Linked DNA regions of Sus scrofa. The protein of the gene in region 2 interacts with the protein of the main gene of each other region in a biochemical or structural test. Links are inferred from orthologs where the notes say so. Each region holds a gene or a part of one and is shown on either strand. Other genes may lie near its edges.

Region 1 (3,946 bases), on a different chromosome or scaffold from region 2:
GTGGGCTGAGTGGCTAGGAGATAACAAGAGAGAAGCTGTGAATGCTTTAGATACTAGAATTGCACACTTTAAATGGTGAATTTTACTACATTAAAAAGAGAGACAGAAATAGAAGGGCAGAGTTCTGGGATCTCTTTGGGTTCCGACCGTCTTTGAAGTTAGTGGTGCGGAAGGGTGTAGGCTGTGGGGTCCCTGCGCCTGAGTCCAGGCCCGCTGGGCCCAGGGGGTTTCACCAGGGCTGCCCTGGTGCTGAATGTTTGCCCCAGTCTGGCAGTGCCAGACTTTGCTTGAGTGGGTTCTCGTCTGGGGTTTTGAGACCTTGACCAGGAGAAAGGACCTGGGAGGTCCTAAGGAAGTAAGCCTGCTCCCTGTGGGGCCTCTTACCAAGCACAGGCTCCATAGCTGCCAAACCCAGTGAGTGGGGACCCCTGGATGCCCCACCCTGACTTCACTGTGGGGGTCCCCCTCACAGTACTTAACATGTTGAGCTGATGACTTGGGAGTGTTCACCACCTGTTGGGCCCTGTGCTGTGGGCAGAGAATATGCGGTTCTCCATGGTTCTCCACCAACAGCTCAGGGTTATCCTTGCTCAAGAGATGAACAGACGAGGCTCAGAGAGGTCAAGGGCCTTGCTTAAGGTCTCACAGTGGCCACAAGCAGCTGCGTGGGCTGAGGAAAAGGACAGACCCAGGCTGAGGGCTGGGACGGGGTGCAAGCAGGCCAGAGCAAATGTGGAAGCCCCCAAGGCAGGCAGTGAGGCGAGCAGAGGTGGGCCAGGCCTGTCTCCGGCCAGTGTCACTTCCAAGCCCCTCAGCTCTCCCAAAGTGTCCCAGATGGCCGGGTCTATCTTCTCAGAAGGGACGCTGAGGCCCAGGCTGGCTGAACACCAAGCCAAAGCCCCCAAAGGGCGGCAGGGCCGGGTCTGAGACTGAGCGTTTAAACGGGGTGGCAAGGTGGGCGGCGAGGGGGCGCGGGGTTCGGGGCGCACGCGCGGCGCGGCGCGGCCACGTCCGGCCCCCGGTGCGCGGCTGGGCCCCCTCCCCTGCTGCAGCCGAGACCCCGCCCCGGAGGCGGAGGGGGGAGGGCGGCAGGGGGCCCGGCGCCCGCTCTGCCCGCCCCTCGGCCCGCCCTGCCCCGCCCCGCCCCGCCCCGCGACGCCGCCGGGCTCCGGAGCTCTCGACGCGCCGACGGCCAGGCGGGCAAACGGACGGGCAGACGCGCCGGCGGGCTGACGAGTGGAGCGCAGCGCGGTGAGTGCACACAGACCCCGGTCCGCCCCTGTGGGGTTGGCGCCCCGGCGGGGAGATGCGACACCTTGGCCGGCGCCTGGTGGGGTGCAGGGTCGCGGAGGGCCCCCTCCCGCCTGGGGCCCCATCACCCCTTCCCTTTGCCCCACTCCCACCCACCTCCACCAGGTCCCGAGCCCGGCCGCTGTCCCCGAGAGGGAAGACTGGGCCCTCGGTCGGCACCGCTGCCGTCGCGCTCCTCTCCTTTCCCAACCCGTCCCCGCGCTGCAGCTACAGAAGTTCCCCCGCAGGCAATGTGGGACGCGCCCCTGGTTTCACTGGTCCCTCACACGTCCCTTTCGCGCACACATGCTTAACACACACGTGCCCTGCACACGGGCGATTCCCAGACACGCGTGCCTGTATCAGACGGCTGTGTCTATTAAAAGCGTGTGCCTCCCTAATAGGCACGCATGTCTGCTACACACGTGTGTCTGTCACACACACCTCTCTCACATGTGTCACACACGTGTCTCTCACATGCCTGAGGTCACAGACACTCCCCCACACATCATGAATCTTGCACACAGGGTCACATGCCAGCCACTTGGTAGTGCATCTGGGCCCCCCCACCCTCCACAGGCACAGCCTTCAGTGGGTGCTGTCTTCTGACCAGTGGGGCCAGAGTCAGGCTAGGGGTAGCTTTTGGCTGAGGCTCTCTTATAATGGGGCCTGGGCAGCTATGGGGAGCACAGGGAGGGGGCTCAGGGGGCAGGAGTAGGCCTGACTCTGCCACCCTCCCCATCCCGAGGGTCCCCCCCCCCCCCGCAGTCTCCCAGCAGGGGTGCCCTCCCTCCCTCTGCTGTCCCAGGTCTAACCCCACACCTCAGTCTGTGACTGCCACTTGGGTCGTTCCAAAGCTGGTCTGAGCCAGCAGGTGTCACCGTGATGGGCCGGAAAAAGAAAGTAATCTGGGTGCTGGTTATTGCCCAGAGTCCCTGGAATCAGGGTGCTGGTCCAGGGCCCTCCCAGAGCAAACCTCCTGCCTGGGCCTGGCACATGTGTGCGGCCAAATGGTCAGGACTCTGAGCCTCACCTTCCCCACTTGCCAGTGGGAGTGAAATCCCCACCAGGAGGAAGGGAGGGCCCGGGAACTTTGGCCCCCTGGACTTCCCACCCTCCCCTCCTGCGTCCGGAGCTGTGCTGAGGGGGAGGGACAGGGCATGGATGAAGTCAAAGGCTCTGACTCCGGAGGCGCGAACCTGCCAGCCCCCATGTTTTGCTTGGCTCGTACCATATTATTATTATTTTTAAAAATTTAATTAGCTGCCAGCATTTACAAATTGGCAGGTTTCACATAAAAGTCCGGATTTCCGTCTTCTGAAAAATCACAAGGTCTGGAGGCTCAGGACCCTCATTCCCGCGGGGTGCCCTTGGCTAGTGCTGCTTGCCTGCTGCCTTTGGGGTGGGGCAGGAGACCGCTTCACATTCTTGGCTCCTGCCAGGCCGGCGTGCACCTCTGCTTGGCTGCTCTTGCTGTGTGACCCAGGCTTTTTCTGCAGCACTGCTTGCCCCAAAGTGGGCCTGAGTTAGTCCCCTCACCAATGGCTGGGGAAGCCTTGAGTGAGCCTGTACAGTTCAAGGCCTTAGTGTTGGGAGTGATGAGGGGCATATCCCATCTGCCTGGACTGTGGGGCATCCTTGTGATGGTGTCTGCTGGGCTGCAGAGGCCCCAAGGGAGCAAGGCAGTGATCTTGGAGCCGAGCCTTGTCCTTCTCCCCAGATCCCTATCCTTGATCCTGCAAGGTCACAGTCTTACCCCTTTCTGCAAGATGGGGAAACTGGGACCCAGAAAGCTCTTTCAGCAGGCAAAGGGCAGAATTGGGATTTCCATGCAGGTTTTTCTGACCCTAAAACCAAACTCTTTGCCCTCCCTTTAGCAAGTCCATGAGAGGAGGTATTTGGTCGCATTGGCCCAGGGGAATTCCCCGAACCAGGGTCACACCTGACATGCAGTAGGTGCTTGTGGAACAGCACAGGGAAGTGAAGCTACCTTCTGGCCTGGGGTCCACGTAAAGCTAAATCCAGGGCCGCTGGTGACCTAGACCACTGCGCTTCCTTCGGAACGGCCTGAAAGTCCAGCACACTTTCCTGCTCTGCTCTTGCTGTGACTGTGACCCCAGGATCACCAGGAGGAAGACCCTGGGTCCCTCAGGAGGATTGCCATGTGTCCTGTTGGGTGTCAGAGGCCTGTTTGCCCTGGACTTGGGGGCTGGGGTGGGAGCAGTCCCCTCGCCAACCCCCCCACCACCCCCACCGGCTGGCCCTGGTGGAGGGCTGCTCTTCCAGGAGGGTCGCAGCCAGAGGGATGGGTGGCTTCCTCCTCTCACTCACGCTCCTTGGTGGCCTCTCTCTGGGTGGTGTGGGTGTGGCGGTTGCTGCGTTATTTTAAGTCCTTGTTCCTGGGACCCTCGGCTCTGTTTACCACATGTAGGCAGCTGGATTCATGTGCCCTGAATGTCCCTGTGATGAGTGGTGTTGTGGAAGTTTGTTGATGACCAGATGAGGACCAGTTCTGTCAGTGGCACAGGGGACTTGGAGGTGGTGGGCAGCCCCTGGCCTCCCCTGGTACCTCCTGGAGGTTTTCATTCTTGCTGGGGAGGCAAGTGTTGGGCTGGCCCCGCAGGTGGTGCAGAGGGCCTTCCCCTCCCTTCTGTGA
Region 2 (3,509 bases):
GCCGAGTTCCGCTGCAGCGCCACGGGGAACCCCACACCCACCCTCGAGTGGACAGGTGAGGCTGTGGCAAGAATGACAGTCAGGGCCTGGCTGTCCTGGATGTGGGGGACCAAGGGCAGGACTCTAGGATGTAGACTGCAACCTCCGGGGGGACTGGCAATGCCAATCCCAGTGGGTGCTAACCCTGCTTCTGCACGTCAGGGGGCCCCGGTGGCCAGCTCCCTCAGAAGGCCCAAATCCTTGGCGGCATCCTGCGCCTGCCAGCCGTCGAGCCCTCGGATCAAGCCCAGTATCTGTGCCATGCCCACAGCAGCGCCGGGCAGCATGTGGCCAGGGCTGTGCTCCACGTGCACGGTGAGAGGGCAGGGCTGAGGGTCGGGTGGGGAGCGCGCAGCAGCCCAGAGAGGTGTCCTTACAGGGATCTGTCTGCAGGGGGCAACGGGCCCAGGGTCCAGGTGAGTCCAGAGAGGACCCAGGTCCACGAGGGCCGCACTGTCAGGCTGTACTGCAGGGCTGCAGGTGTGCCCAGCGCCACCATCACCTGGAGGAAGGAAGGGGGCAGCCTCCCCCCACAGGTGAGGATGCCTGACCAGGCCGGGCCCATGGGCTCAGCGGAATCCCAGCACTTGCCACCAGCCCCGACCTCTTCTGCTTCCCTTCACTTCCAAGATGGGGGCCTATTCAGATGCCCTGTTCCCTGCATCCTGGCAGGTGGCTGCTGTCAGCCTCTTGCTTTGATGGCTGGTTCTGCCCTCCTTGGTGCCCAGCTGGGGCCCTGATCTTGGCTCTGAGCTGGCCTCTACTCTTTAGGCTCCCCCCTGCCTGCCCTCCCCACTGGCCCTTGCCAGCCTGCCTCGGCCCTCGGGCGGCTGACTCATTTGCTGTGTGGCAGGCCCGGTCTGAACGCACCGACATCGCCACACTGCTCATCCCAGCCATCACAACCGCCGACGCCGGCTTCTACCTCTGCGTGGCCACCAGCCCTGCGGGCACCGCCCAGGCCCGGATCCAAGTGGTGGTCCTTCCAGGTGCGGGGCCTTGGGGGCTGAGGAGTGGGAGGGCCGGCCAGGGCTTCTCTGAGGCCCACTCACGCTTCCTCTGGCCCCAGCTTCAGGTGCCAGCTCCCCGCCGCCAGTCAGGATTGAGTCCTCGTCGCCTTCTGTGACCGAAGGGCAGACCCTGGACCTCAACTGCGTGGTGACGGGGCTGGCCTACACCCAGGTCACGTGGTACAAGCGAGGGGGCAGCCTGCCTCCCCACGCCCAGGTACGAGGGTCCCTGAGCCCGGTCCTTCACGCAGCCCGGCCCTCTGCAGGGCCTGCCCTTCTTTCCTCCCTCTCCAGCTTCTGGCCTGGGCCGGCTCTGCGTGGAGCCAGGCCCGGAGGCTCAGCGGGAGTGGTAACCCCATTGTCACTTACCTCTATCCTCACCTGGCCCAGGTGCATGGCCCCCGGCTGCGGCTGTCCCACGTATCACCGGCTGATTCTGGAGAATATGTGTGCAGAGTGGAGAATGAGTCAGGCCCCAAGGAGGCCTCCATCATCGTCTCTGTCCTCCACAGCACCCATTCAGCCTACACGCCAGGTGAGGAGCCGCCGGGGCTGGCTGGGGGCCAAGCCCTCCGACCTCCCGTCTGTTCCCAAGGATAGCGCCTGTGGTCTCTTCGGTGACATCTGGACAAGAAGAGGCCCTCGAGGCAGGCTTTGACCCTCTACTCCCTGCAAGGGGAGATGCAGGGACTGACGATGGGGATAAGGTTGACCTGACTTTCCTGGGACCCCGTGGTGGGGGGACTGTTTGCAGAATTGGTCTGAAAGCAGCAGAGTCAGGGTTGAACCCTGAGTTGGGAGTCAGGCTGATCTGTGTTGAGATGCTGTCTCTACTCCTTATCAGCCTTGAACTGATTTTACCATTGAGGCCTTAGTTTCCTCGTGTGTGAAATGGAACAGCACCACGGCCCTGTGATGTGAGCACACAGCAGGCACTCTGAAAGAAGTTGTGGCACCATTGTCTTCATCCTTTGGCCCAAGCTGGGTGCTGTAGGACTCTATGTCCCTGCAAGCCAGAGCAGCTTGTCACAGACCCAGGAGTCCTGGGTGGGCGGATGGGCCTTGACCACCAAGGTGAAGGTTGAGGAGGGAAGGAGGGGTCTGGCTGGCCCTGCCCAGGCAGGAAAGTGTGGTCCCAGCCCCAGAAAGGCCTCTCGGCTGCCCTCCCAAGCTAGGGCCTGGTCCTATTCCAGGGCCCAGGTCAAGGCTTCTCCTGAGCCCCCAGCCTCTGACCAGCCCCTCTGTGCCCCAGCTCCTGGTGGAGCCCCAGCTCCAGGCAGTACCCACCCCATCCGCATCGAGTCTTCCTCATCTCACGTGGCCGAAGGGCAGACGCTGGATCTGAACTGTGTGGTGCCCGGACAGGCCCACGCCCAGGTCACGTGGCACAGGCGTGGGGGCAGCCTCCCTGCCCGGCACCAGGTACAGCAGACCCCCAGGGCCAGCCTGCTGGAGGGGTTGGTTAGGGCTGCCTCGGCCCCCTCCTAACCCTCCCTTTTGCACTCAGACCCATGGCTCGAGGCTGCGGCTGCACCAGGTGTCCCCAGCCGACTCAGGCGAGTACGTGTGCCGCGTAGTCCTTGGCTCTGGGCCCCTGGAGAGCTCCGTCCTGGTCACCATTGAGGCGTCTGACTCTGGCACTGGCTCCATCCCCAGTAAGTGACTGCTGGTGACCAGGTGAGCTGGAGGAGGCTGAGAGCCTTCCCAGGTGCTGAGGTCCTGGTGACTTCCTGTTGGTGACATGAGGAAGAGGGTGGCAGGAAGCCCACGCTGGGACTGGCCACAGGGCCTGGCCCGGACAGACGCCGCTTCTCTGATGCCATCTTCCCATCACTTCTCTGTGGCCACGTCTCTCGTGTTTCTGCTCCTGCCTCCTCTTCCTCCTTCCCAGCCTAATTTTCAATTACCCTCATCTCTCCCGCTTCCTCATGCCCTGGGCAAGCCTTGGCTCCCGCCCCAGCCGCCCCTCAGGGTTGCTCAGGACCCCAAGCCCAGGCCACTACAGCCACAAGGCTGAGCTGCCTTCTCTTCTGGGGGGCACCTACTACCCTCGCCCCTCTCCCGACTGCCCCAGGACCCATCCCGCCTGTCAGGATCGAGTCCTCATCCCCCACCGTGGCTGAAGGGCAGACGCTGGATCTGAACTGTGTGGTGGCAGGGCAGGCCCACGCCCAGGTCACGTGGTACAAACGCGGAGGCAGCCTCCCTGCCCGGCACCAGGTACACAGCGGCAGGAAGGTGGGAGGGGGCCAGCTGGCCGAGCTGTGGACAGTGGGTGGGGATGGGAGCAGCAGACAGCCCCTGAGCTAAGGGACCCAGTTCCCAGCTCAGAGGAACGGGGTAGGGGGCGCCTGCTGGACTCTGGGAAGCCCCCTTCTCACACTGCTGCCCCTGGCTGTCTAGGTCCGCGGCTCCCGGCTCTACATCTTCCAGGCCTCACCAGCGGATGCAGGCGAGTAT

What was found.
Region 1: the proteins of HSPG2 (region 2) and FBLN2 form a complex in vitro, tested with the Homo sapiens proteins (2 studies listed by BioGRID). The link is inferred for Sus scrofa from reciprocal best matches to the Homo sapiens genes HSPG2 and FBLN2.

What each region holds. Positions count from the first base shown.
Region 1 is NC_010455.5:70,827,622-70,831,567, reverse strand, and holds the start of FBLN2 (fibulin-2), read left to right. Parts: upstream 1-1,137; 5' UTR 1,138-1,251; intron 1,252-3,946. UniProt on the Homo sapiens protein: Its binding to fibronectin and some other ligands is calcium dependent. May act as an adapter that mediates the interaction between FBN1 and ELN.
Region 2 is NC_010448.4:79,878,281-79,881,789, reverse strand, and holds part of HSPG2 (basement membrane-specific heparan sulfate proteoglycan core protein), read left to right. Parts: coding exon 1-55; intron 56-201; coding exon 202-354; intron 355-432; coding exon 433-575; intron 576-892; coding exon 893-1,028; intron 1,029-1,108; coding exon 1,109-1,266; intron 1,267-1,439; coding exon 1,440-1,584; intron 1,585-2,301; coding exon 2,302-2,471; intron 2,472-2,556; coding exon 2,557-2,704; intron 2,705-3,123; coding exon 3,124-3,269; intron 3,270-3,452; coding exon 3,453-3,509. UniProt on the Homo sapiens protein: Integral component of basement membranes. Component of the glomerular basement membrane (GBM), responsible for the fixed negative electrostatic membrane charge, and which provides a barrier which is both size- and charge-selective.